4 linked regions of the Diceros bicornis minor genome follow. The protein of the gene in region 1 interacts with the protein of each later gene in a biochemical or structural test. Links are inferred from orthologs where the notes say so. Each region holds a gene or a part of one and is shown on either strand. Other genes may lie near its edges.

Region 1 (7,490 bases):
TCTGTTTCTATGAATTTTACTATTCTAGGTACCTTGTATAAATGGAATCATATAGTATTTGTCCTTTCGTGACTGGCTTATTTCACTTAGCACAATGTCTTCAAGATTTATCCACGTTGTAGCATGTAACAGGATTTCCTTCCTTTATAAGGCTGAATAATTTTTAAGGCTGAATAATATTCTATTGTATGTATATACTACATTTTGTTTATCCATTCATCCATCAGTAGACAGTAGAGTTGCTTCTATCTTTTGGCTATCATGAATGATGCTGCTATGAACACTGGTGTGCAAATATCTGATAAATACCTGTATATACCCAAAAGTGGAATTGCTGGATCAAGTGGTAATTCTACACTTAATTTTTTGAAGAACCTCCACACCGTTTTCCACAGTGGCTGTAATATTTTACATTCCCACCAGCAATGCACAAGGGTTCCAATTTCTCCACATCCTTTCCAACACTTTTTTTCTATTTTTTTTCTTTGATAATAGCCATCCTAACGGGTGTAAAGTGGTTCAATGTGTATTTTTTTATTTATATGACCTCTTTCAAAATGTATACAATTGTTTTGTATATATGTCATTTTTTACATAAGGAGCATTATGTTATTTATTTCATTCTGTGTGTTACTATTTTCACTTGGAATGGTTTTTAAGATTCATCTATTTGTTTTGTGTATACAGAACTCATTACTTCTAACTTTTGCATAGTAGTCCACGGTGAGCATCAGTCATGTCTATGTATACTGAGGATGTACTATGTGCTTGTGGCAAGCTCTCTACACCGATTATTTGATTCCTTACAGCAATCCTAAGAGGTAGGTGTTATTATTATTCCCATCATATGCATGAGGAAACTGACAAACAGGGAGTTAAGGGACGTGCCCAAAGTCACACAGCTGGAAGTAGTAGAGCTAGAAGTTTAACCCAGCTCTGCCGGGTGCCCCGGGAGAGCTCGCGTGTGTCAGGGGCTACACAGAGCTACAGACCAAGGCTCTCTCTTAGGTGAGGGCACTCTGATGAGAATCCTAGTCCTGACCAGATCCTGACTTATCTCCATATTGCCAATCACCTCCCTTCACTAGACATCACTTTATGTCTCTGCAAAATGAAGACAGGACAATTTTAATGCTCTTTCTAGAGTCACCACTTGTTGATTAAACCTCCGTTAGCTAATGGAAAAATAATCAGAACTGAAGTCAGGTGTTCGTTTCTTTCCAGTATTCCACATGGGAGCTGCTCCAAACACACAAAAACCCTTTGGCAAGTCGGCTAGTGAGGCAATTCCCTGATAGGACTATTCCCAGGGAAACGGAGTTGTTGCCTCCGGCCCCATCCCACCTCTCTTGAACTTTGCACTTACCATGATGAAAAATTAACCGGGCAAATGTTTCCCTTCCAAGGACAACCTCTACAAAAGCCTGCCTGGCTGGGCCCCAGGAGACCAGGCGCCAGAACGGAGTTCCTATGCATCCAGAGCCACCCACCCATTCACTGCCCAAAGTCAAGGGAGCATTTGGGGTCCCCCTGGCACTGGGAGGAATCCATTCCACAGCCCTCCTCGCTGCTTTGTGAAACGGGGCTTCTTCCCTTGAGTCTTCTCCTGGAGAAAGCGAGGCCAGAGGAGCAAGAACTAGCCCAGAAATGGGACTTCTTGGACTCACACCTGGGTCCAGCACTGTTTTTCTGCGTTCACAGCTGTCCGTGTCACATGGATGCCTGCATGTGAAGAAAGTGCAGGATAGCATGGTTCAGCTGCCCTAACTAGCTGCTGACTAGTTATTTCCTCCCCTCAGGAAAATGAGAGGGCTGAACAAGGGGCCCTTCCAATGCCATGATTTTAGGGGTTAGGTACACGCTAGGCCCATCCACTATATTTAATCCTCAGATCTTTTCTCCTTACTCCATAGTGCATATCACCTCCCTTCACCAGATACCACTTCTGCCTGTGTAAAATGAGAGGCTTGCATTGGAGGAGAACAATTTTAATGCTCTTTCTAGATTCACCACTCTGCACAAGAAGAACGGTTTGCTCCACTCTTATAGCTGAAAGAGCAAATGCTCAGTGAGGTGAAGGGAGGGAGAGAGCCAGGATTGAAAGCCAGCTTGGTCACTGATGGAGCTTGACGTCCTTTTACTTTATCTGCCTGCCTCTCAACAGTTGGACCTGCTTGATTTGATGTTCAGGTTAAAATTAATGTTCTACCAGGAGATAATGATTGCAAGGGCCCCTTTCTCCCAGGCACACACCTGCCACCCCTTGGTGTTTCTCCAGGCTGTGAGGTCCTTGAGGTTAGGCACTTGCATCTTTCATTTCAGCTTTCCCAGAAATGGGTAGGAGGACTGAAACACAAAGGTTCTCCATAGATCCGCCTCGAACGGAACCGAGCTCCCTCATCCGCACTCTGTGACAGGCTCTCCACGGCATTTCAGTGACCCCAAGGTGTGGTCCTATTCCTTTACAACACTTGACTGTTTGCATTAGATTTCAACAACCACCCTAGGAGGTGGAGAGCAAAGCTATTTGTAGCCCCATTTTACAGGTGAGCAAACATTTCTTGTAGAGGCACAATAGCGAGCCTGTGTAAAGAACTTTTGTTTTGCAAAGAGCTCTATCAATGATGTCATCTTTGCCTTCCACAACTCTATAAGGCAGCTAGCTGGGTGCAGTGGCAAGAACTGGGACTGAAGCCTCACAATGCGTGGGGTTCAAATTCCAGCTGTGCTGCTTGGAATCCTGAGTAAGTATTGTAATCTCTCCGCACCTCAGGTGCCTCCTCTGTGAACGGGAGGCAGAGGGACATCCACCTCAAGGGCCATTGTGAGGATTAAATTAGATGGCAGCACTTGGGCGACTTGGAATGAAGAAAGCCATCAATAAAGGTTGATTGCCTTCCTTCCTTCTCTTTTTTGATGAGGGCTGGGAAGAAGGGAGTGAAACCTAAGACCATAGCAGCTGCGGGTCAGCTGGAGGACCAGCAAGGAACAGGAACCAGGTCGTTAAGCCTCAGTTGGGGTTCAGGGATTCTCCTTTAAGGGCCAAGCAGGCGGGGAGTCAGGAGGGGAGGGCAGAGAGCGCAGCGCTCAGTGGCAGCAGCTGACAGGCCTGTGGGAGGCCGTTCTCTCCACAAGGCAGGGACCCCTGCAGCTTCTGGGCTGACTTTGTGGATTCAGCCACACCTCACAGGGTTTTGTAACTCCCCACTGGCTTGAGGGTTTGCAGATAACTTCTTTCTCACCACGGGGGTTTCCTGCTGTTAAAAATAAACAAAGCTCTTAGACACCGGGCTAGAGGCCTGGTAGGGGAGGGTCAGCAGAGGAAGGCCCTGGGGCTTGGGGTAACTCCTGAAAGCAGCCGAGGGGTCTGTGGGCAGATGCCCCTGAATTCTGCTGGTGGGGAGAAGAGCCCCCGAGCCCCCCAATATCCCGGTGTTTCTTTGCTTCCCACCAAGGCTAACTTTGAACACATCGACTTCCCGAGCACCGCCCTTTTGCCCCACTTTTTGCGAGTTCACAGCTTTGGAAACAAAGCTCTCTCTCTTTCTGTTTATTGGGTGTCGAATTTCGGATCTTTCTGTATCATAAGATTCAAAACACCCTGCAATGTCATTTTTCCCCCAAGATAAATTCTAAAGCGTCCCGATTCATTCCTTCACGAATTCAACAGATGTCTTTGAGGCCTATTTTCTGCCGGGCACTTGATTCACAAAGCCCAAGGGACCCCTGGCTCCAGCTATTACCTAGGGTGTCACTGGAGTCCCCAAATCTCCCCTTCTGAGAGCCCACTTCTTCCCCATCCCAACTTCCTCCTTCGCACACAGCCTTGGGGCTCTCAGCCGGTGTGATCTCACCGATGAGAGAATCAAAACAGCCCCCGGGGCGCCAGCGCCGGCCAAGGCCCCGGACCGGGATCAGCGCGCGCGCGTCCACGTGCGCCACCACTTCCCGGGGCTCAGCGTTCCGTGCGCCCTCTCTCGGACCCGGGTCCTCCCAGGGGTACATCGCCAGCCTTTGGTCTGAGGGCGCTCATTCGCTGCGAGTCTAACCCTCTCCGGCCGGCAACTCCAACTGAGCTTCCCGAGTGTGGGTTCCCAGAGCGGACGCCACCGCCCGAGCCCAGCCCTCCCGCCTAGGGCCCCTCTCGCCGCTCCTTTCCCACGACTTCCTCCCGGCGCCCGCAAGACTTCAGGTCCGGGCCGCGCGGGGTCCTACGCGCTCCAGCCAGGGCCGCCGCTGTCCCCGGCCGCCCGCGTGGGCGTGCGCTGCGCCGGGCGGGGGAAGGCCGGGCGCCCTCCCGGACGCTGGAGGCGGGCCGGGCGCCCGGGGAAGGAGGCGGCGGGGCGCGGGGGAGGAGGCGGGGAGCCCCGGCGGCAAGGGGGCGGTGACAGCGCCTGGAAAGGAGGCTGCACGCGGATTTGCATGAAACACAGACTGGGAGCGGGCGGGAGCGGGAGCGCGGCGCACGCCCCGGGCCGGCCCAGCGAGCGAGCGAGCGAGGGAGCCGGGAAGGAGGAGGGAAGCGGGGAGGCGAGGCTGCTGAGGCGGAGGGATCTGCGCATCAAAGCGAACAAGGCGAGCAAAGTTTGGCTGGGGGTTGGACTTTCCTTCCTGGAGGCGGCACCCAAACAGCTACCCCGTGCGGAAACCCAAACTTTCTTTTGCCACTCCGAGTCTCGCGGCCGCCGCCTCCGCCCCGCGTTCGGGGCCTGCCCGACCCCGCGCCGCTGTCGGCCGCCTGCCCGTCTCCCCCGCCGGCCTTCTCCCCGCCGTGGGAGCCGCTCGGGGCGCAGGGCTGCGCGCCGAGCCCCGCAGGCTGCAGCGCCGCGGCCCGGCCCGGAGCACGGGCAAGTTCGCCGAGAGTTGAGGCGAAGTTTGGGCGGCCGCGGCCGGCCCCGGCCGAGCGCCCCTCTGCGCCCCCGGCGTCCCACCGCGCGCAGCCCCGCCGGGGGCGCCCTCCCCCAGCCATGTCGTCTATCCTGCCCTTCACCCCGCCGATCGTGAAGCGCTTGCTGGGCTGGAAGAAGGGCGAGCAGAACGGGCAGGAGGAGAAGTGGTGTGAGAAGGCGGTCAAGAGTTTGGTCAAGAAGCTCAAGAAGACGGGGCAGCTGGACGAGCTGGAGAAGGCCATCACGACGCAGAACGTCAACACCAAGTGCATTACCATCCCCAGGTGGGGGTCCGAGCGACCCGGGGGCGCGCCCGCCCAGCCCCCTGGCGTGGCGTGGCCGGCCGGGTGGGGTTGGAGCGGGAGGGAGAGTGTGTGTGTGTGTGTGTGTGTGTGTGTGTGTGTGTGTAAGGGGGGGTGGGAGCGCGGACAGAAAGGGGTTAGAGGGGACCCCAAACAAAACCTTCTCTGGATTTGCAAAGATTCATCAGAGCCTGGGGCTTCCACGCGGCACTCTCACTTCCAGACCTCACATTCGCTTTTCACCTCCGGGAAACGGGGGTGCTGCTGGAATTGGCCACCCCCACTCCGGGGAGCTGCGGGCTAGAAGTTGAGGCCCGCTTTGTTCAGCTCCGCGGGCCCGAGCCCCTCCTCCGCCGCCGCCTCCCGCCCCCGCGGCCCGCGCTCGTGGAGGTGGTGGTGTCTCTCCCTTTCTTTTCTTCAGTCTTGTCCCCCCACTTCTTTCCTCCTCAACAGGAATGCAGTCCGTACAGCTGGGGCTGTGGGTGAGGAGCGGGAGCCTCATGATTGACAGATTCCTTCTTCGTTCTTGCTTTGCCTTCGGGATTAGCATTTTTATCGAGTATTTTTAGACTCGGTTGTGCCAGTCTCCCGCCCCCTCCGCACACACGCACTTTAGTTGCAGTGCAATGCTCTGACTTTCAAATGAGAGACAAGTGGCAGAGAGTAGGGTCTTCTTCCCCGCCTCCCCCGACTGTTTTTGCTCTCCTTTGAGTCTGAGATTGCGGGTAGATGCAGAATAGAGGGGGCTCAGAGCCAATGAGATAACAAAACGCACCCCAAAGTGGGCCTCGCCTCGGCCCTCGCATTCCTGCAGAGCCCTCCTTCCCAAAGCGCTTTGCCATCTGTCTGGACCTCCTTTATCCTCCACATTGCGCTAGCTAGGTCAGGCGGGAGCTCACAGATGGCTGATAGAAGGGGTCAGTGACTTCTCTGCATTCCCCAGGGCCTTCTCTTAGCTTAGCTGCGCCTGGCTGAGAATTAGGGGGTGTGTGTGGGGGGGTTATCTTGGCCTTCTGTCTCTCCCTCTCAGCCCCCTTTAAGGTCTGATTCTGCGCCAAGGGAGTGTGTGTGGGGTGGGGGATGTCCTTGGGGTCCCAGGCTGCAGAGGAATGAGTAGAGGGTCCCCAGGGCCTGAGCCCTGCAGAGATTGTCATCCTTGCTCCTGGGCCGGCAGTGGACTCCATCCTTGGCCACCTGCTCGGGGCAGCTGTGCAAGGGCTGCCAGTGGTGTCAGGCAGGCACAAAGCAACATCTGTCCGTGGGAATCCGGGGCAGGCCTTCTCTGGAAATGAATGCCACATATGGTGGGAGTGCTGACTTAAAAAATAATAATTTTTTAAAAAACTGGGTGGATCTAGTCAACAAAGGGGGAGCGAAGGCAGTGTGGTGTCTGGGAAGTGCGCTCTGGGCGTGTGATCTGGAGCCAGAATGGACTTCAGAGGAGGTGGTGTGATGTGGTGGTCAGTGAGCCCTGGGTTCTGGTCCCAGCTCTGGTTCTTAGTTCTTCTTTATCCCTTGGGTTGGGGGTTGGGAGTAGGGTGAATGAGTGTCCTACTCCGCCCCCCCCCCCCGGGGGGAGGGGTTTCCAAAACCTGTCTTCTTACCTGCCTGGGTGCATTGATAATAAGTGCTTTATGCCTTGAAACAGAAAGAAAAGATGGTATCAATTATAAAACGAGCAGCTGCATGAAGTGTTTTCCAGTTTACAGAGCACTTTCACATGGTTTTATGAGATCCAGAAAGAAAGAAACTCCTGGAAAACAGATAAAGCAGTTAGGCTTAAGATTGATCTCACTTTTAAAGTTGAGAAAACTTTGGAGGTGAGAGGTGGAAAGGCTTGACATCGCAGACATGGGATTCTGACCAGAAGTGCTCCTTCTCCTACCCCATGCTGCTCTTCACCTTGAAGTTCTGGGTACATTCTTTCCTGAATGCCAAAGCACTGTTAGCTAGGGGGTGAGGACTGGAGGGGGGGCAGTGTGGATCTTTGTTGGTAAGATTGCTGATGTTGAATCTGTGGGCTGGTGACAGCCTGGAGGAGAGGCCTGGCTTCCCCTGGCCTTGGTGGGAGTTTCCCTCTGGGGGAGCATGGCTCTGGCCTGCCTCCAGGGTCCTGCAGCCTGAGGCCTATGGATGCTTTGGTGTTTCTGCGAGTTCAGGCTAACTTGCCCCCTGGCTTTCTCATGACTCTGTTAGGGCCTCTGGTTGCATCTGGAGGCATCTTCTACCTGCCTGGCAAGGACTTAATGCTGAGGCAGATTTTTTTCATCTTTTCTCAGCTAGGGAAACCCAATTGCTT
Region 2 (6,987 bases), on another chromosome or scaffold:
GTCGTGTTAACACGCCCAGGCAAGCCTGCTTCAGCATGAAAAACCCCGTAGAGGAGCTGATCCAGACCATTACAGATCTGTTCAACTCCCAGTTGACCTGCTAGCTGACAGCAGACTCATGCGAGCTCGGCTGAGGTCAGCGTCAATTGGCCCAGACCAGAAAAACTGCCCAGCCTACACAGAGTCTCATGAGGAACACATGGTTATTATTCTAACCACTAAGTTTTCAGGTGATTTGTTATTCCATTAGGAGCACCAAGAGCTAGCAATAGACAATAATGGTATAAGTCAATAATATCCTGTGGGTTAAAAAATAAGATAGAAATAAAATACACAACAATGATAGCATATGACTAGAATTGAAGTGATTTAAGGTTAAAAAAAAAAAAAAAACAGAAGAGGAAGATGTTTATTTTTCTCATATAGTAAGGACTCCAGGGTAAGCATTTTAGAGCTGGCACAGTTGCTCAAGGACTTTATCAAGGACCCAGACTCTTTCCACTTTTCTCTCTACTATTCCTAGTTATAGCCAACATCCTTATGTTCACAAGATGGCTGCTGCACCTCCAGGCAATGCAACTGTGTTCCAGGCAGAAAGAAGGTGAAAATGTGATGAGTCTGTCTCTTCTTTACAGGGAAAACAATATCTTTCCCACAAGCTCTACCCGGTAAACTTCCGCTTATATTTCACTGGCCAGAACTCTGTCACATAGCCATATCTAGGTGCCAGGAGCCTGGGAAATTGAGATTTTTACCTAGGTGAACTGCTTTCCTAAAGGAAATGAGGATTCTGTTATAAAGTGAATGTAGGAATGGGTATAGATTAGGCAACCAGCAGTCTTTGCTCTCTGTTTGGGAGAAAACATCTTACTTAAGGGAATAATCCAAAAGGAAAAGCAGACAATGTACTCAGTATAAAGATTGAGAGGTAGCATCACATAGGGGACAAGGTCCTGGAGTTCGTCTCCTAGTCCTGGCTCTGCAGCTGACTTGCTGGGGGACTGATCCTCAGTTTCTTCTCCTTTAAATCAAAATGTTAGAATAACAAACCTGTAACTCTTTTTGAGAGCCCATAGAGACCGTGAAGGGAATTAACATTTATGATAGAGTCTTCATGTGCTATATAGGTCATTTAGACCTTACAACAAATCCATGAGTCAGTGTCATTATCCCATTTCACACCAGGAGATGTGAAACCTCAGACAGATCAAGCAGTGTGTACAGATCCCACAACCCGTAAATGGCAGAGTTGGAATTCCAACTAGGGTCTGAAGGCTTCCAAAGCCAGAGGCTTCTTTCCATCACCCACAGTTTCTCAAAAGGTGAAATAAGTGCGTACATTTTTATTTATTGAATTTTAAGGGCATACTTTCTAAAGCACTGTCTTTCGAAGTGTGGCCTGGTGACACGTGCAACAGAATCACCCGGGGTGTGTATTACAAATGCAGACTCCTGGACCTCCTTCAGATGAACGGAAGCAGCCTCTCTAGGGCTGACACCCCGGAATCTGTATTTTTAAAAGCTCCCCAGGTAATTTGGAGACATTTTAAAGTTTGAGAACCATGATTTTAAACTTATAATTTATTATTCCATTCTAAGGTAGTTTATTCATGGATCCGTGGCTCATGGAAATTTCCTCCAAATATTAGGAAAATAAAATTTAAAAATAGCCTCTTTCTCCTTCCTGTTCCTCAGTGTCCTAAGGAACACTCCATTGCATGGAAAATGTTAAGGAACTGGAAGTGTGTCATAGAAGATATCCTAACGCTGATTAACTGAGGCTCTGCACGGCAAAGGCTTGGATTAGCATGAACACGCATGCTGATTAGAATCATACAGAGCTGGAAGGGGATGGGCAAAGGAAATGGCATTAACTAAATATTTACTATATTCCAGACACATTACGTCATTTAAGGGGCCTAAGACGTGTGATTCAACCCCTTTCATTTATAAATGGGGTAGGTACCATTATATTTCTGTTTTAGAGATGAAGAACCTTGTAATGAGAGAACAGTCACTTGTCCGAGATGAATCATTCATTCATTCATACAATATATATCTCTTGAGCTCTTATGCAAGACGCTGAGAATAGAGCAGCAAAAAAAGCAGTCTTGCGACCTCAGGTGTCACAAGGCCCTGAATGACCCACCAAGTCTCCACTGAAGAAACTGGAACAGAGAGAGCAGACTGGGACTGGAGCCGGCCAGAAGCAGTCTCTCCTGGTTTGGTCAGCCTTCTGCGGCGGGCGAGAGGAAAGCTTGCTGCTGTTGTCTCCAGCAGCCCTGGAGAGCAGGCCGTGACCTGGGTTTTAGCAGTAGCTGCATCCCTGGGGAGGTGGTTCAGTGTATACCAGGCCCTCACCTCTCCAGAGGGGCAGGTGAGGGGTCTGGAGGGAGGGCCTAGAAGTGGAACTTGAAAGCGGGATGTGGAACCCCCAAATCTCATCATATCCTCTCACTTACCTTGGGAGATAGATATTATTTCCATTTTATAGATGAAAGAATGGAGGCTCAGAAAGGCCAACTGACTTGTTTAACTGTCCCAGCCCGGAGGGGAATAGGGCAGGTCTCAGATCCCAGCTCCACGCCGCATCCTGTCGCTTTGCAGCTCAGAAGGGAGGTCTTCACAGGCAGGTAACAGGCTCACGGGGTCGCGCTAAAGTAATTGACAAAGCGATGCTAAGGGCTGGTTCCGATCCCTGCTCCCAAGGTTTATTTCATTCCAAGTTCAAATCACACAGAAAATAAAATTTTCTCCTTAAAAGGTTCTGTGGAAAAATGTTCTGTGTTCTCTGTAGCAGCCTCCTTGGCTGTGTTTGCGTCTGAAGAGAGGACTAGTCTGACAGGAAGAATTACAAATCTGGAGCTCATTTTGGCGTCCCGGGGGGAAGGTGGGTGGAGCGTCTCACAGTCAAGTAGGAGTTCAGAATGAAAACGTAGCCGAGGTTATTTGGGTTTCCAGCGACACCTCAGAATTATTGTGCAGGCGTGTCAGAGGCAGCTCAAAGTAATGACTGCTCCTCTCCGCCCCGGGGGTGCTGCGTGCTAAGAAGGGGAATCCCCCTCCTTTGGGGGGGGGGCCTTCCCTTTCCCACCTGGATCAGGGAGGGGTAAGAGGGAAGGAGTGTGGTTTGGAGCGCCGTTCTGGGTCTGCTCTGAGTTCCGGAGGGAGGCGGGAGGCTATTCGGGGGTATGTCTGAGCTTAGGATGTGAGGTCTGAGGCTGGGACCTGAGGCCAGGATTTGAGGACTTTCTGGGCCTGGAATTTGGGGGGCGGGGAGCCTAGGTTGGGGCTAGACGCTGACAGTGGGAGGAAACAGGAGACTGAGTCGTCTAGGAAGGGCAACGACGAAGAATCTTGGGGGGGATGTTGAAAGTTAAGGCGTGGATCTGGGGAGCGGAAGTTGAAGCCTGCCGGCGGTACTGCGGGTCTGGGTGAATGGGGATGGGTGGTGCAGGGCTGTGAATGGGGGCCGGGGCGGCGCTGGGTCAGTCCCAGATCTTAGGCGCCTAGAGGAGGCTAGAAGAAAAGAGCGTCGAGCCGCCACAGCCCTTTTCCGAAAGCGCCTCACACACGCCCAGACACACCCATCGTCCCGACCTTCCTCCGGGACTGGAAGGTCGCAGGGCAGGGGCTCCCTAGACCCCGGCCCCACCGAGCCTGCTCCCAGCGGCGAGCGGCTCCGGCCGGGACCGGGGTCTGGCGGCACGGCGCCCCGGGAGCGTGGGGGCGTGGCCAGCGGCCGGGCGCCTGCGGCCCCGGATTGGCTGCCCGGCGGGCCCGCGGGCGGGGCTCCGGGCTGGGGCCCGCGCGGCCGCTCGCAGACGGCCGGGGGGCGTGGCCGGCGGGAGCCCGGCAGCCAATGGCCGCGCGTCCCCGGAGCAGTTACAAAGGGCCGGAGCGAGGCCGCCGCGGCGGCGGGGGAGGTGGGGCGAGGCGAGGCTTGCTGAGGCGAGGCGGCGGCCGGGCCGGGCCGGGCCACAGGCGGTGGCGGGGGGGACCATGGAGGCGGCGGCCGCTGCTCCGCGTCCCCGGCTGCTCCTCCTCGTGCTGGCGGCGGCGGCGGCGCTGGTCCCGCGGGCGGCGGGTGAGCGGCGGCGCGGCGGGCGGCGGGGCGCGCGGGCCGGGCCGGGCCTCTGGCTCGCTCCTTCCCTTTCTCAAACATGGCGCGGGGCCGGGGGCGCAGGTGGCGGCGCCGGGGCCGGCGCTGGGCTGTCCCGGGCGGGGCGGGGGCGTGTGTCCGCGCGGGTGGCCGTGCCCGGCAGCCGCGGCCGCCCCCGCTCCCGGGGAGGTGCGTCGGGCGGGGCCGTCCGAGTCGGGGGCTGCCCTCTGAGGGGCGGTGGGCGCGCGCCGAGGGCCGGGGGTGTGAGGCTGGCGGGGCCTGGGGCTGCTCCCCGCGCCCCCGGGGTACCCCACCCCGAGCGGCGGGTGCGAGGCGCCCGGGCGGGGTCGGGGTCGGAGCCTCCAGGCTTCCCCGCGCGGCGGGCGGGGGCGACGTGTGGTGGAGCCCCGGGGTCAGCGGGGCCGCCCTGGCCTTCGGCGCCGGCCCGACCCCGCCGAGGGGGCTGCCCCTCGGGCCGGGCGCGGCTCCGGGGGGGCAACTGCGGAGCTTCGTGTGAGGAGGAGCAGGAGGCACGAAGATGTGCGGAGGGGCTCTCCTTTCGGGCGTCTGGAGGGGTTGAAGTGGATCCGGGAATCAGAATGGTGCAGATTGTTTTCGTAGTAGAAACTTGAACGTTTGCTCACTCTGCGGCGTTTGGAGTATTTGAATGGGAACGACTCTGTGAGTTGATCAAACGCTTTTATTTCCTCGAAGGAACGTCGCTAGTGATGTTCCCTTTCTTGAGTGACAGTAGTTTGAATCAGTCGTCTGTGTAGCTGGTTTTCAAGGGAAAATGTTTGCTCCGTTTTCCGGAATATTAAATCAGGATGGGGTACGTGGTCATCACCTACCGTCGTGCAAGGAGGAACTAAAAACTTTGTTCGCATCCAAACTAAGATAGTCGAAACTAAAATAATAGAGCCTTAGCGTTGGAAACTAAAATACAGTGAAAATACGTTTCTGTTTCTGAAATTGAATACCAGATATTTTAAAAAGCAAAAACAAAAAACTCAAGACTGAGGGTGCCAATTATTACTAACAGCTACTGTCTGTTAAGAGCTGACTATGATGTAGATGCATAAAGTACACCGAAGTACATTATCTAATTCTCACAACTAAGCCCTCAGGGCTAGTGGCATTTGCCCCATTTTATAGATGAGAAAACTGAGGCAGGGGAGAAGTTAAGTATTCAATTACTAAGAGCTGGAGTTAGGGTTTGCACCCAGGGTTCAGTATTCCAAAACCTGTACAAGCTTAGTATATACACCTAACCGTCCTGCATAGCCCATTTTTCTTTTTCAGTCCTGTAACGAGCAGTTGATCTTTATTATTCACATTTAGATTTTGCTCTTGCAATTTGAAAATCAGGTTGGCTTCTTTCTGATTCCTACTGCATTCTTGGAGTCCCTTCACACTGGGCCTGCATTAGAGGAAACAATGGATTTTGGACATTGGCCTAAGGAGGCAGGCAAGATGAATATGTGGACAGCAGGGAGAATCAATATAGTTATGAGTCAAGCATACATAACATTTCCACAACACCATTAACTCAAATAGTGTAGTTCACTCTTTTCCACCTAGCCTAGCACACAGAGTGTTCAGGTATTCAAATAACAGTATTCCCCTTAGTTGATGGACAGATTGCTGAGTCCGCACCCTGGAGGAGCTTACACACTGCACTGGCATGCATGCAACACAAAGCTGATACAGGTGCTGTTGCTTTTGTCTGGACTACCTCAGCTGGTCTGCCTGGCCTCGTTTTAAGAGCTTGCAGTTGTTCCTTATTGTCTGGGTTATCAGTTTTTTATTTCTCTGCCCAGCTTCTGCTCTCTCCCATACAGATTTCTCTAGGAACATGGGTTCCCTGTTCCTGGTACACAGTTTAGTCCCACTACATCTATGTATATAACCCATGTGAGAATGTTGTTTGCTTCCTTTCTGCCATTTCATAACTTTTTTCTTTGAACACTTGCCTAAAACTCAACTCTTCTTTATATTAATGCCTCTTGAATGTCTCCTCTTTGTACGCAGCCATCACTTTAGGCTGCCTGTTATCCCTCAAATCTAGTTGCTTCCAGTGTTTCTCTCATCTAGGCTTTTCTATAGGCTACTGCTAATCTTCCTCAGCCATCCCATAAAGGGTTTACAAGATTTCCCATTTGTATTCAGCAGTTAGAGCAGCGCTTGAAGCTTATGATTAGGGCCATCTCTGAGTATCCAGCCAGAGCTCACTTCTCACTACTGCAAGCCCTCAATTCCAGCAATTTCTGTCTTCCCTCTGACTCCTGACTTGGCAGCTTTCACTGTATACTTAATTTTGCCGCTTCTGGGAGTATGAGGAGAGAACTCGATCCTGACTTCCTATACTGGTTTAGTTCCTGAACTTTCCATTTCCCTGAGCTGTATAGCACTTACAGTTTGTGCTGTCCATTTCTGCTGTCTTGCACTGTTACTTAACTATACTCTTGAACATGTGATAGGTACCGAGAGGGCAAGAGTCATGTCTTTTATTTCCTTTATGCTCTCAGAACCTAGCACTGTGGTTTATATTTTGTTCCACTTAAATGCTTGTTCATTAAGTGAATTGCATTTGACTGAGTATTCCTTTAGTATTTATACTGTTATATGTACAGTTCATGTGATATTAATTGATAATTCTGTGTATAGAATCAGGAAAAGTCGTATGATGTGGTGAAAGAAGCAGTTGGTTATTAGCTTTGGTTATGAGTCCCAACTTCACCTCTAGTTGTGCAGAAAATGGGGACGATACCTGCGTTTCCTAATTCATGAGAGCATGGAGATCAAATGAGAAAGTCATCTTGGAGTTTGAGGTTGCTATTTGTATGGGTAATAATAGGTGGGGCTGATGTTCACCCAGCAATTCC
Region 3 (7,435 bases), on another chromosome or scaffold:
TGAGATGTACTCTGTGCTGAGACTGGTTGTGGGGACACAGAGATGAATCAAACACTGAACCTGGCTCACAGGCCTCACAATCTGATAGGGAAGACATACAAGTAAACAGATATTAACAGTGCAGTGATGAGTACTTATAAATTGGGAAGCACAAGGATTACTGGAAGCATGGAAGAGGTTTTGTGCCTTTTTGTGAACAAACTTTTACACAGTATATACTCTTTTTTTTTTTCCCCTTTGGTGAGGAAGATTGGCCCTAAACTAACATCTGTGCCCATCTTCCTCTATTTTGTATGTGGGTCACTGCCACAGCACGGCTTGATGAGTGGTGTAGGTCCACACCCAGGATCTGAACCCACGAACCTGGGCTGCCAAAGCAGAGTGCGCTGAACTCAAACACTACGCCACCGGGCCGGCCCTACAGTATATGCTCTTGTACACAAATATAATATTCATCCATTCTTCCTTCCTCTCTCCCTCCCTCCCTTCTTTTCATTCAGTGCACCTGTAATTTATTGAGCATATACCCTAGACCAAAGGATGTGGCAGTGGAGTTGGAGAGGAGGAGAGAAATTCAATAAAAGCAAGAAGTAGAATTTATCAGGCTTAGTAACCAATTGTCCAGGACAGAGACACAAGAGTTAAGGATGACTTCTGTGCCATTCACCAAGCCAGGAAATGGATATCGTTTTGTTCTGAATTTTTTTCCCAGATTTATTGAGGTATAATTGACACACAAAAGGCCTGAATTTTAAAGAACAAATTTTATTTTATTTATTTTTTTTTGTGAGGAAGATCAGCCCTGAGATAACATCCATGCCAATCCTCCTCTTTTTGCTGAGGAAGACCTGCTCTGAGCTAACATCTAGTGCCAATCCTCCTCCTTTTTTTTCCCCAAAGCCCCAGTAGATAGTTGTATGTCATAGTTGCACATCCTTCTAGTTGCTGTATGTGGGACATGGCCTCAGCATGGCCGGAGAAGCGATGCCTTGGTGCGCGCCTGGGATCCGAACCCGGGCCGCCAGTAGCGGAGCGCGCTCACTTAACTGTTAAGCCACGGAGCGGGCCCTAAAGAAGAAATTTTAAAGAGCAAAAAAAAATTTTGTTTGGGGTGCTATACCTTAAACTTACTTGAAGAAACCATTCTTAGAAAACTGGCCTTCTAAGGATGTATATGGTATAAAAATGAAAGTCAGGAGGTTTACCAGGTTGGGAATAAGGAGATATTTTAAAGTCACTGGATAGTAGTGGAAATCAATGCAAAATTGAGAGTGGAGTAACCAAATCAACTGACAGCAGGTCAAAGTAGATTAAAATGAAAAAGAGATTTACAGTAAAGGAGAGGAAAACAGATGAGAGACATTTCAGGAGCAGAGAGCAAACTGGGTAGGAAAAGTCAAAACAATGAAATGAAACTGTAGAAAGGATTTAAAGTGGACTACTATGATCAGGAACGTGGTAATGATGATAAAGGCAGCCACTTTCAGCAACATAATCTGAATAAGGGGAGAAAGTGTGAAGCAAGAGGAAACTGGTCCTGGGAACAAATGAATCATCTTCATGTAGTAGTTACACCCTGGGTAGCAAAATTATTCATAAACAAATGCAGATTTCCTGGAGTGGTAGCGAACTAGGCTTGGAAAGCACAGAGCTAATGTTAGGTTGTCAAATTGATCTAAATTAAAGGGCCCGTTTCTCTAGATTGAAAATTTTTAGCCAACAGTAACTTACTCTCACAGCATTTTCTGAATACCGCAGAAAGAACTGTGAGGGCATCAGATGGGAGACTGAAGGAATCTCAGGGTTTACTTTCAGCTTTTCCTTACATTGGAAGTTTTTCACATGTAAAAGGGTGGTAGTATAGTACTTAATTCACAGAGTTGTTATGAGGATGAATCATAGTTTCCCTCCGAGCCCCAGTTTCTCTTGTTATAAAAAGGGGATAGTGATTTTTTTGTAATGTGAATCAGAAGTAGGCGGCGAAGGCCAAATCCTGTACAGGGTTGTACAGGATCAGCTCTACAATTGATTGGAAGAGAGCTGTTAGGTTATATTTTCTCTAAAGTGGCTGCTCAATTATTATTTGAAAGTTCCCAGAGATCTTATATAATTTTCTCATTAAGCTTTATTATTATTAGGACATAACCTAAGGTAAGGTGAGATTGCCTTATAATTCTTTCTATACAGAAAAACATACTGGGGGCCTTCCCAGTGGAGCAAGCGGTTAAGTGCACATGCTCTGCTGTGGCGGCCTGGGGTTCGCAGGTTCGGATCCCAGGCACGCACCGACACACCGCTTGTCAAGCCATGCTGCGGCGGCATCCCATATAAAGTAGAGGAAGATGGGCACAGATGTTAGCTTAGGGCTGATCTTTCTCACACAAAAAAGAAAAACATGGGCCTGCCCCATGGCTTAGCAGTTAAGTGTGTGCGCTCCGCTACTGGTGGCCCGGGGGTTCAGATCCTGGGCGCGCACCGGCGCACTGCTTCTCCGGCCATGCTGAGGCCACGTCCCACTTACAGCAACTAGAAGGATGTGCAACTATGACATACAACTATCTACTGGGACTTTGGGGGGAAAAAAAAAGAAAAGGAGGAGGATTGGCAATAGATGTTAGCTCAGAGCTGGTCTTCCTCAGCAAAAGAGGAGGATTAGCATGGATGTTAGCTCAGGGCTGATCTTCCTCAAAAAAAAAAAAAAAGAAAAAGAAAAACATACTGGTTCTATGCTGATATCTGCTATGCAACAGAATGTCATAGGATCCAGTGAATTAGACTCTATTATTCTTCAGGAGGGATGTTACATAAATCCATTAGGGAAATTTTACCTAGACTGAGGATGATGAAGAATGATGCACCCATCTTTTGATAGGAAAACATTTACATTTACACACACACACACACACACACACACAGATTGAGAGAGAAAGAACAAAAGCAGATGGGAACAATCTTGAATCTAAGAAAGACTGAGAGGGTGTTTTGGAACCAACACTAATTGGAAGTAACATTTATTGAATACCTTCTATGGGCTAGTTCCTTTACATAAATTATCTCCAATCTTCACAACAACTAACAAGGCAGGCATTAGAAAACAGAGATTCAGAAATATTATGTAACTTGCCCAGGTCATAAAGCTAAACACAACAGATCTGGAATTGGTAGTATCAGGATCTGTCTGCCACCAGTTTCCTGCTGATTCTACTATACCACTCTATGATAAAATAATGTATTCTGAAAAATTTGAGACCAGAGGATTTGGAGAATTTCTCTCTTTCCCTGCTTCCCCCCGACAGTCTTTTTTTTTTTCTTTTCTTTTTCGTTCTGATATTTGCACCCTAGAATCTGAGTGGGATAGAATATGGGGTATCAGTAAACAGAATGATTCCACGGCCCCTGCTATATAACAATTTCCTCAAACTTCCAGTTATAAAATAACTAAGTCATGGGGATGTAACGTATAGCATAGGGAATATAGTCAATAATATTGTAATAACTTTGTATGATGACAGATGGTTACTAGATGTGGTGATTATTTCATAATGTATATAAATGTCGAATCACTATGTTGTGCACCTGAAACTAATATAATATTGTTATGTCAACTATACTTCAATAAACAAACAATTTCCTTCCTTCAGAGCCTTACCTGGGATTTAGCAAGGGTGGAGGGTAGAAGAGAAGGGGTGGGAGTGAGGGAGGGGGTTAGTTAGAAAAGATGGATGGTTCTTTTCTTACCTTTAAGTTGTTTATGAATTCAGGACAACCCGTTGGCTATTCTCTTCTCTTGCTCGGCATATTATTATTTTTTTCTATTTTTGGGGAGGTTAGGGGCTAAAGGAAATTTCTATAATGATCTGCACAGTAGATCCAAAAAAAGTTAAAGTCAAAGGCAATTCCTTCATCTGTTTTGGGAAAGGATTTTGTATGTGTGTGTGGAAAAAGGTTGGTTCTGGGTCACTCTTCTTACACACAGACACGCTGAAGGGATTAGAAGGGCTCCCCCTCGAATCATCAAGAGATGAAAACGAGGAGATTCCCTCATACTCCTGCACTCACGTGAGGGTCCGAGTTGACAAGAACGTTCACGTACCTTCTGGAGAGAAGGAAAAGGAGCAAAGGTGCCTGGGGTCTAAGGGTGGGGTGTGCTGCCGGTTGGGGTGGGGCCCGCCAGGGTCTGTGGGGGCCGAGGGGCTTCTGCCTCCGGGGAGGCGTCCTCAGGGGCAGTCTGGGGGCCGAGGGCGGCGCAGGGAGCGCGGGGCCCCAGCCAGCCTCAGGCCGCGCTCCTTCGCGTCCCTGACGCTCGTGCTCGGGCGGCAGCCGCAGTCCCGGCGCCGTAGCCGGGCGTGGGGTCCAGGGGGCGCTGTGGCCCAGCGGCGCCGGCGGCAGGAGCGGCCACGGCGACGCTGGAGGCTTCGCCGAGGATCCCCGCCTGCAGCACCTCGGTCGTCCCGCCGCAGCCTTGCGCCCCCGGGCCGGCTCGGCGGCGCTCCTCCGGGATCCGTGTGGCTGCGGCGGCCCGGGAGCCCGATGCGGCTCGGTGGGCGCTGGGCCTCAGCAGCAGCGGCGACCACAGCCCCTTCAGGAGTGGGAGGCTTCGCGGCGGCGCCTGGGGCCGCGCCGGTGTCCTCCGGCGGAGGCTGTCGGCTCAGGGACGACCCCCCCGGCCATGCTGAGGCGGCGGCGGCCGCTGGTCGAGGTGAGTGTGGCGCGGTCCCGGGCTCGCTGGCCTTCGGCCTCCCGGGAGGACCCTGGCAGAAGCCCTCTAGCCGGGCGGACGGGGCGTCCTGCCGCTGTGGTCGCCTCCCCCACCCCGCGGCGCTGGAGCCTCAGCCCTTCCTCCCCGCGTCCCCCGAGAGGCTGGAGGCGCGCGGGGGGCGACTAGGCCCCGCGCCGCCGAGGAGCCTTCGCCCCGGCCTCGGTTACGGCGCAGGCTCCTGTGTGGAGCCGGGGGCTGGCGGGGGCACTGGCACCCTTCGTGTTGGCCCCGGGCCGAGCGCAGCCTTCTACCCCGGGCCCTGCACGTACATCCCGGACCGAGGCTGAGGACGCCTGTTTGCAAACAGCTTTGGCTTTTCCGCGCCCCATCCTGAGTCCCGCCGAGTCCCGGAGGGGGGGGTTGGAGGACAGGAGGGCAGGGTGAGAATTGGAGTGCAGAAAGTGCGGGGCCCTGAAAGCCCCTGGTACTCCGGAGTGTCATTCACCGATCTGACTGGGTTGAAAACGACGTTTTGCGTCTTATTTGAGGTGAAATTTCATCACCTGCCGGTAGCTCATCCCTGCCTTCTTCTATTACCTTTTGCCCTTAAGCGTGGTCTGCCTTGGAGAAAGCCCCATCCCAGCTTTGCGATGTTGATGTTAAGTTTCACAATTATAAAAATGTCTTTTTTTTATTAATTACAAAGGTGCGTTCCCCCTACTCCCCCAATAAGAGAGTGTGAATATTTTAATGCCTCAGTCCTTAGTAAAAAAATGTTCCACCTAAATAGATCCATAGACTAGATGACAAGAGGATTTTAAAAAGTCGTGCTGACTATCCTAATAACAGATACCTGACGGAAATGGGACATAGTCTAAATTTTAGAAGTTAAATATTGTGTTCTGGTATTAATGTAAAAAAAGTTAGTGATTACAGTTTGATACCATGTCAGATATGGGTGTTTATGGTTTAAGATAAATGTGGTCACAGGTTATTCTTGTTTTCCTGTTATGTATGTGAAGGTTGTAGGATTGATAAGTACTTCTAAAACTTTTATCATCATGAAAAAAATAAATATGCTTATTGTAGAAAATTTGGAAAGTACAGAAAGGTACTGTATCGACTCGCAATAAATATTTAGTAATGGACGAAAGTAATCCATAGTCTCACAGTTAGTACATTTTGATGGTCATTTAAAATTTAAAATGGGCTTGTACTGTTGGTGATTTTTAAATTATTATTTCTGTATATTAGGTCCAAAGTTGACTGTTTCATTTTACTGTTTCACATCATTATTTGTATAAGACCTATAAAAATGTTTTCGTAAATTGTATTGCAGTCATAGTTGAATTCATCAATAAAACAAAATAACATGAGTAACTACCTAGAAGACCCCTGATTTACCTCCTGTGCAGCGCAGGAAGCTCCTTAGGTCTAGGGAGGTTTGGTGTAGTAAATGTTTTTGAGGACCTATCCTGTTACATGCGGTAACGTTGTATTTTTTTTTTGTAAGATTTTGCTTAAATATTTATAACTAAAAAATTGGCTTAATTTTTTTGGTAGATTAAGTTTTAAAAAATCTAATTCAATTTTTCAGTGTCCCTAAAGACTACCAACATTAGAATCAGCTGAGAGTGTTTGTTAACAATATGCAGATTCTTGGCCTCCCGAATCAGAATTTCTAGGGATGATGATGGCCCAAGGATCTTCATTTTTATCACGCTCCCTTATTCTTAGTCCTACTAAGGTTTGAGAATCAAGTGAACTAACCTTGGCAAGCTGAATGAAAGTATCTGTTTTCTAGCAAAGCTATCAATCTTAAGTGGCAATACAATCATTTCTCATGGCAACAGATAATGGTGGTGTAATCTTAGAAAGAAAAATAGTGATTTTCGAGGGACAGCTGATTCAGTCAGCAAACATTATTGAGAGCCTTTTGTGGTAGCTGTGGTGTTAATAGAAGGATACCTGGCCACTTGTCTTGGCAGTTAATCTCCTTGGACCTCAGTGTCGTTGTCTATAAAATGCAGATAGTTATACTTACCTTGCAAGGCTTTAAGGGTAAATACATCTGAAAGTTTTATAATCTGTAAAAGATCTTTATAAAATTTTAGCTATTAGTATTAAGTGCTAGGTCCTGTCTTTGGTGTTCTGGAAACACAAAAATGACCAAAGTCTCTGCTAGCAACTAGCTAATTGTGGAAGCAGGACATGTTTAATTAACCGTGACAAGGCAGAGTCAGACAGGTGTTGTAATTGAGTGGAACATGCTGGATCTCTCTTTAAGGCTTCTATGTTTTATCCAGTAGCTTGCCCTTTAAGAATATTAATTTTTACGTATGGTCTTTCCTTTCTCTTCCAATTCCTGATTCAGTGTTTTATTCCTTAAGGAGATAATTGTATATGTTGCCTAGTAAATGATAGTTTTATATTAACTCTTTTAGAAAAACAGAATGAGTGGAGATGATCCCATTTCTTCCTCTGTTGCTAAGCTGCCACTGTTCTTTCCATTCAATAAACTTTTATTTGGCACCTGTTATGTGCTGGCCACAGACTAGTTGCAAGGCACAAAGCTTGTTTAAAAGATAACTGCCTGAATTTTAACTTAAATTCTTATGTTCCTAAAGGGATGAGTGTGTTGTGTATTTTATGGTTGTTAATTGCATGATGGTGGTGCAGAGTATGGAATCAGATGTGGGCAGGAATCCTTACTGCAACCCTTAGAGCAACGTAACA
Region 4 (7,685 bases), on another chromosome or scaffold:
AGTCTTTCCATTAATTTCCATGGTAGATGAAATAAGAAAATAAGGAAGGTGGGGTTGGGGCAAGTAGAAATTTCAAATCCAGCAGAATTGAACAGTTCTGTTGCATCTAGTATCAACATGCTGTGTTTGGGAGAAGGACCTTTCGGTGCAACTGCTTGTCTGTTTCAGAAAGAGAATCAGTTTTCTCCAGGAGCTGGCTTCTAAGACTGCAGGTTTACTGGCTGAGGGGGAACAGGAAGGCAAGGAGGGCACCCAATAAAAGATAAGGATTATTTTCCAAAAAGGCCTGGACTAACCGATACCTGAACCTGGAACATGATCTCCCATCTATCTCGAACTTTCCCATAGATTACTGATTCCCCTCCATGGATTTTGACCCTCTTCTTATTTAATCCCCGTGTTATGCTAGGCTTTGCTATCATGCTAATCTCTTCCATTTCCTCATTTAGCAATTGACAGGACCTGGATCCATGGGATCTGTGATGGACTGGTCTTGGTGGGAGAGTCCACTGGTATTTGTTCAATGTGTTTGCAATACAGCCGAATGTACCATCCGTGAGATTTGCTTTAACTCTTTGGGAGGGCAGAAGCCAAGTCTTACCCTGTAAAATAATAAATACGTTTCAGATAACACATCCTTGCACTTTTTTCCTAGAATAATTGGAACATTCATACAAATAGATTTAGTCTCCTTGTAGTTTATTTAATTGCCTCTGTTATGAAAGACTTATAAACATGTCCATGCCATCTAATCTTTCTGATTCTCAGTTTGTAAAATGAGGGTGTTGAACTCTACGATCTCCAAGGTCTTTTCCTACTCCAAAATTCTGTGACCCGATACTTCTATTGTTTAGACAAAAAATAGGTCTGTTCTGAAATGGTCTGTGTTAGGCAGCAATCCAAATGGACTTTTTAAGAATTCACATACAAAAAAAAAATATTCTCACATAGAGTTCTATAGGATGAAGAGAGGGCCCATTCACTATTTGTTTGCTCTCTGTGGGAAAGCTATTCTTTTTTTTCCTCTTTGAACAATATAAGGAAACAACTTATCTTTTACGATTTTTGGATTCAGTTCATGGAGGGTGTCAGTATTGTCTAGTGTTCCCAACGGGGATGTGGGAGTCAGAGATGCCAGGACTTGTTCCCAGCTTTTCTGCTCCTTATGTGACCTTCAGAAGCCACGAAACGACTCTTAAGACTCAGTTTATCTGCCTGAGAAATTGGGCTCCTCTGTCTTTACCACAGAGAAAACCGAGTCTTAAAGTTTTTGGAAAAGGATTACAGCAGCCTAAAGGGTTAAAATGATCATCTTTAGTCTTTCAGAACATTTATGGATCCCGCTCTCAGATGCTTCTCTACTGCCTAGCATGAGAAGCTTTTGCACAAATACTGTAGGATATAGCATCACAGACCTAATTCAGAAACTGTAAGAATTCAACCAAAATCGGTGGCCTGAACTGGAGGTGACCCTGAGTATACTCGAGAATAGGTTTGCTGTGTAAAGTATTAATAAATAAAGTTGCAAGATAAGGGAATGCAGAACTTAAGAGGGGACAGGGGGACAGAAGGGGATGGCCAAGCCTGAAGAGTTTGTTATCAACATCCACTTCTACATCAACAGTTACCATCTTAATAAAATGAATCTTAGCTATTGATTAGGCTGAGGAAATTCTTCTATATTACTGCAGAGATATTCAGAAATAACCAAAAACTAGAAACAACCTTTCTATATGATCTGGTCAATTTTTCAGATAAAAGTACTTAGGAAAGTGCAAACCAGTGTGACAAACTTAGTATGATTTTACCAAATTAACATGAATCAGTGAAGTTTTACTATTGCCGGAAACTTGAAACAATCCAGGTGTTCCTAAAATCTGATGTTCAGAGTGGAAAAATAATACTGCCTGCAGTTTCACAGCGACACTGCTTGCTTCAGAAATCACCAGGTTGTCAGTTCAAATCCATCCCTAAAACCTTCCTCCACAAAATATACCAGGTCAGGGAAATAATTATGGTGTGAGGAGGAACCCCTCGATTATGTTTGGTGATCTAACTGGAATGTCGAATCAGCTCCTGTGAATGAGAGCACAGTTAGGTTGGCATGATCTCAGTAAACATGAATGAGCATCAGATTTCCCAAGCACACGAGGAAATGTGAAATGCTCTCAAGCAACCTTCCCAGTTCAGATGGAAATAGCCATTTTGGATATGTACTCCTTCGGCTTTTGTATAAGGGAATCAAGTCATCATTCAGTCAAGTTTAAAAGCTGCGCTTGAGCTGCCTTTTTGAGAGGCGAAGACATGCTGGAGCTGCACCACGATTCATCATGTTCAACTTCATTTGGTGGAAACATTACAAGGGAATAGGCTCTCAGTCTCCTAGGAAGTGCCTCGGCTCTACGTTACTTCCCAATCACGCTGCTTACCACTGCCCCTTTATTTCTTTGTAGCCTGTACCCTTTGTATAGTGTACATTGTACAGGCTACATTGGATCCAGAGGCCCCCATCCTGTGAAAAATTCAGATGGCTAGAGCAGTAATCAAAAATACCAATAAAGTGTCACCGGTCCTCGCTGGTGATATGGGATGGCGGGTGAGTGAGATATAAAAATGAATCATGAGGCGAGACATGATTGCTGCTCAGGCAACCACTTCCAAATGTGAGTGCACCCAGGTTGCATAAATGGTTCGGAATATTCTCCGTTAGGCCAAAAGGCTTGCAGATAATGGCATCAACTCATCAGGCTCCAAGGCCCCCAGGGACCCGGGAGGCAGAAGAGTTGTTGCTCAAGTGGTTGAGCCAAAAACATTTATGTCCGGGCACTGTTGGGTAAGTGGCATCTGCTGACAGGAACGGCTTGGAGTAAAGTTGGTTTTAAAAAATACGCACCACAGCCCTATATGTTTAATACAGGAAGCTGTCTGAGGTGTAAAGAATGGTGAAGTAAATGAGCGGGATACCATTAATCTTGGTTTGTTTCAGCACTACATCTTGAGCAGTTGAAGGGGGGGTGGGTGGAGAAAAAGACTTGCTCCTAGCTCATAACCTGAGTGTTAAAACTGATGTCCTTCCCATTAGGGCCTGTAAACTCATTAGCACATGGCAATTTATCCTCTTTTATTTGTTCTCAATTATCCTATCATCCATTGTATCTGGGTCTGATTACCCTTTCCCAGAGTCAAACATTATCTTGTAAATCATTTGCTTTAAGTCCAAGCCTGCCATTGCACTGCCTGGGATTTGCTTAGGCAGGTAATAAATCAATTAGTATTAAACTTGTGGTGTCATCTATTTTCTTTCCTCGTGCTTGGAAAGAGGAACACCTGAAACCCTAGCTTCGGTTACATCACATTTCTGTGCATGCTTTTGAACAATGCAGAGACGTTTACTCTTGTTTAAGGAGAAGGAAAGATAAGGGAAAACAAAACAAGGATTCCACATCCTCAGTGTGTGCCTGGAAGGCTGATGACATCATAGGTATGTGGCCCACGTATTTCAAAGGTGATACTTTTAGCAATAATTGGGAACATCTATTATTTAAACGCGGACATCAGAGATTCTGTTTAAGGGATAGTCTGATTTTTATGTCCAAAACACAATTATGGACCCAAAAGGAAGATGGTCGTTCATTTTTTTGTTCTATTATTCTTTTATGTACATACTACTTCTTTGCACACATACAAATTGGTCTGATATAACCAGACAAGAGGAGCAGAGTATTTTTTAGATCGTTGTCCTTTCCTCCCCTATACATTCTAAAGGGTATCTCTTCTCCCTTTAGGTAGTGTACTAATTTACTTATTCATTTTATCTTCATGCCCTGGATCTAGTTTTCAGTCCTTTGGGTGAGTTTCTGCACAGGGAGCCCAACCAAACAATCGTAGCTCAAAAGTAAGCCCTGTGAGTTCCTAAATTAAAGAGAAAAATCCTCTTGGGTATCTCAACAACCAGTAGCCTCTGCTAAGTGATGCCCCGTGTATGGGCTATAAATTAGTGGAGATCTTTGCCCTCCTGATTGGGAAATGGTGCCTGAAAGGGACTGTCAGACACATGGCAGGACCCCATCAGGGGAGCTGCTTCCAGCCTTGGAGAACAGTGGTAGAACCATGAAGAGGGCTGGAGCACGATGCAACTGGAGTGACTGGAGGACAATTAAAAATATTTAGTTCTGGGTCTGGCTACTTGGACTGCAGACAACCTGGCTCCCTGGATGTACTTTCTTCTCCAGCGTCCTTCTGGAATCTGCCCCACATCAAGTGCTTCCTGTGGTTCTTTTGGTTTCAATCCTTCGCTTTCACCCGGTGAGAACATGCATGGACTCTTCCTCCTATGGGTCGAAGGATGAATCCTGATTTAGTATCCTAATTTGTTTATTACTGATACTGGTTAAGCCCTCAGTGCCTAGAATTATGGCAGGCATAGGCTCTAAGAGAACCATGTAGCCATGTGTTTCCACTCTTACAGAGGGGCTGATGGAGACACTCAGGAATGGTGCGAAGCCCTTCCCCCAGAGCAGGGAATTTGAATCATGGGGTGGGGCTTGTTCAAATGCAGTCTCTGATTCGGTAGGTCTGTGATGGGCCTGAAATTCTGCATTCCTAACAAGCTCCCAGGTGGAGTGGATGCTGAATGGCCACGGCACTTTATATTTTCTTTTCTGGTGGCAAGAGTAACTTTTCACCCTATCACAGCCGTCTGCCAATGCATCCTCTGTGCCCTACAAGATACCAAGCTCCTTGAAAACAGGACATGACTACCTTGGTGAGTATATAATGATTAATTGCCTTGATTTGGGAACTAGGGGGTCTGGGATCTAAACTCACTTCTCTAGCAAACTAGTTTTGTAACGTTGATCACTTCCGCTGAAATTGTAGAAGATCTCTCTTTTTTGTGCAGTGAGGGAGTTTGGACTAGATTTTGGGTATTGTATAAAAGCAAGGGCAGGAGTGAGGTAAGAAATGTGAATGAGGGAAAGAGTCATGTAGTGATCAGGGAAGATCCAAGAAAGATTGTGATGTCTAAAGGGAGCTCCCTCCCTTGTCTCTCTCCTAGGGTGTGGATCCCTTGTTGCCAGACCTTACAAATTTTTAAGAAGATAGAAATCTGATTTCTTATTAGTGTAAAATCTTCTTGCTTTTAAATGTTGATGAGTAAAATGATTTTTTTTTTTTTTTTGCTCAAGAAGATTAGCCCTGAGCTAACATCTATGCCAGTCTTCCTCTGTTTCGTATGTGGGTCACTGCCATAGCATGGCTGATGAGTGGTGTAGGTCTGCACCTGGGATCCGAACCTACAAACCTGGGCTGCCAAAGCAGGGTGCACCAAACTCAACCACTAGGCCATGGTGCCAGCCCCCTAAAATGAATTTTTTTTAAAGGAGAAGAGACACACTGGGGATGACATACTATACTTCTGCAGGCCAAAGACTACCCACAGGCCACCAGTTTGCAGGCCCTAGCCTGGACTAGGCTCAAAAGCTTTCTTCCAGTAAACACATAGGAACTATGTTCACAAATGTTAGTCAAGCTAAACCAATGAAAACAACATTTCTGATGGACCAATCAAACCATCTATAATGGTGGAGTGGAGGTGGCCGGTGTCTCAGTGCTTTGGGCTTTCCTGAGTGCCATACATAAGATGGATGGAGAGGCTGGGCACCAGGCGCCAGCAGGTTACATGAGCTCTCCTGGGGGTATTTGCTCCACCTGTGACTTGTAGTTTGGTTTGTTTGTGTGTTTACTGTCCTAGGAGTTGCCAGACATGCTTCTGGTCTTTGAGGTGGTGATACTCGTGAAATGCTCAGGAACCGTGAGAGTCCTTCTCATAAAGATGGCTTTTAGGATAGTTCAGGGGTAGTGACAGCTCATCAGTCACAGAGTAATAATCTTTACCTTTAACTTCTTCTAAGACCTCTTAATAGGAACCACTCGTTCAATTGTCAAACTTTTTCTATTGACTCAAGTGCCATTAGCAGCCGTGATTAGAGACCATCACACTTTTCCCCAGAGGTGGCTCAGTATAAATGAGGAGACAACATTATGTTAGCATGGATATGGACATCCCTAAATTGGCAGAGTGCAGTTCTTGGTATAACTTCATTTGGTTGCAGAAGAGAATCCAAGGTCACACAAAGATTATTGTAAGAGCTGTATCTTCGACAATTGTCCACAATAGGTCCATACTAGTCATCATTTTCTGATGTTCTATTTTTCTGACTTGAGTTCTCTGGAACTAACCTTATAATGACACTTAGCCCATTTAAAGTTCTTTTTTTTTTTTTCATCTCTCTTCAGTTGGGTAATTGTTCCGTTCACATTATGGAGATGTGTCATGTCTTGAATTTTATATCCTGGAAAACATGTAGTAAGTCAAACTTGTTCAGACATGATGACACCACATAGACATGGCTGATTGTAAGAGGAGACAAATAGTTTAGGCTTAGATGTGAGAGAAAAACTGGGGTTACTGGCAAGCATTAAATATTTATAAAGCAGCCAATCTTTGGTACTCGTTGGGGAGTGTTTTTGCATGAGGCATGTCAGGCTTTATAATTAGTTATGGAACTTAGTATTATTTGAGTTTTTGCCATGCTATTTTCTTCCTATGAAGGATCATTATTTTAAATGTGTAATAAGAAGAAAGAAATATAGTTTGGGAAAGTGGTAACTTTTCATTTTTTGAATTTTTGAATAATAATTTATGTTACAGTCTAGTAGTGACTTTGAATTTTTTTTATTATCACATTTTCAGGGATGATGTTACACTAAAATAAAGATTGTGAACTTCAGTGTAAGATAAAAAAAATTCTAAATTCAGATAACTTTATAACATTTCTCTTAAAGCTTCTCTCTCCATTAGGAATAACAAAAGCAAAAATAAAAACACAAATGAAACAAAACAAGGCTCCCATTCTCTTCTTGGCAAATAACTGTATTTTGATTATTAGCAGAAATGGCTTCGCTAGTGCTTATGGCATTTGTAAATATAGTTAAGAGAGGGCTTTCTTTTCTGAAAGAAAGTTGCTACATTACAACCATAAGTTGCTATAACCTCTTGAGGGAGAGGGGAAAAAAAAAAAAACAACAAACCCTCAAACCTTAATAAAAGTTCCCAGCAAAACCGTTAGGGATTTCAATTATGAAGCTGTTCTCAAGATTCTTGTAAAGGTTATTTGTTGAACAATTTCTCTGTAACAGTGTATGACAAATTACTCGCTTGGCACCGTGAATGATACACAAGCCCTTTAATTAGAATATAGCACTCGATGTCTTTAAGACCTTCTAACATTTCTTAGTTATATTATTCCTCCCACGCCTTTCCAAGGAGATGTGGACTTGTTTGCAGAGTCAAAATGGGTGATGGAGTAGGGTGGACAGAGACCTCGCACTGGGCTGGGAAAATCCAGAAGCCACACAAAGAAAGGAAGGCTCTGACCCCAACAAGTTTTGATTGCAAAGGCGACTCTGATAACAGAGTTTTTTATTATCCATTGCTTTTAGCCTTATTTACCATCAGACTCTCTTGCCACGAGCATGCTTTTTAGTTCTGACAGCCCTGAATTATGGCCATTGTGGGATCCTATCTCATTAACTGAAATGGGAGAATAAAACATCAAACAATCATAAAAATAATTTGGCACTGTGAAACCACTTAGGAGCAGCTGTCAAACAGGTTGGAAGAT

Evidence for each region.
Region 2: the proteins of SMAD3 (region 1) and TGFBR1 form a complex in vitro, tested with the Homo sapiens proteins (2 studies listed by BioGRID, with this or other methods). The link is inferred for Diceros bicornis minor from reciprocal best matches to the Homo sapiens genes SMAD3 and TGFBR1.
Region 3: the proteins of SMAD3 (region 1) and ZFYVE9 form a complex in vitro, tested with the Homo sapiens proteins (2 studies listed by BioGRID and IntAct, with this or other methods). The link is inferred for Diceros bicornis minor from reciprocal best matches to the Homo sapiens genes SMAD3 and ZFYVE9.
Region 4: the proteins of SMAD3 (region 1) and MECOM form a complex in vitro, tested with the Homo sapiens proteins (2 studies listed by BioGRID). The link is inferred for Diceros bicornis minor from reciprocal best matches to the Homo sapiens genes SMAD3 and MECOM.

What each region holds. Positions count from the first base shown.
Region 1 is NC_080744.1:61,120,888-61,128,377, forward strand, and holds the start of SMAD3 (mothers against decapentaplegic homolog 3), read left to right. Parts: upstream 1-4,478; 5' UTR 4,479-4,967; coding exon 4,968-5,173; intron 5,174-7,490. UniProt on the Homo sapiens protein: Receptor-regulated SMAD (R-SMAD) that is an intracellular signal transducer and transcriptional modulator activated by TGF-beta (transforming growth factor) and activin type 1 receptor kinases.
Region 2 is NC_080767.1:9,159,460-9,166,446, forward strand, and holds the start of TGFBR1 (TGF-beta receptor type-1), read left to right. Parts: upstream 1-3,987; 5' UTR 3,988-4,002; coding exon 4,003-4,087; intron 4,088-4,670; exon of another isoform or gene 4,671-4,783; intron 4,784-6,987. UniProt on the Homo sapiens protein: Transmembrane serine/threonine kinase forming with the TGF-beta type II serine/threonine kinase receptor, TGFBR2, the non-promiscuous receptor for the TGF-beta cytokines TGFB1, TGFB2 and TGFB3.
Region 3 is NC_080752.1:14,482,400-14,489,834, forward strand, and holds the start of ZFYVE9 (zinc finger FYVE domain-containing protein 9), read left to right. Parts: upstream 1-4,435; 5' UTR 4,436-4,699; intron 4,700-7,435. UniProt on the Homo sapiens protein: Early endosomal protein that functions to recruit SMAD2/SMAD3 to intracellular membranes and to the TGF-beta receptor.
Region 4 is NC_080754.1:52,324,135-52,331,819, forward strand, and holds the start of MECOM (histone-lysine N-methyltransferase MECOM), read left to right. Parts: upstream 1-4,685; 5' UTR 4,686-4,765; intron 4,766-7,685.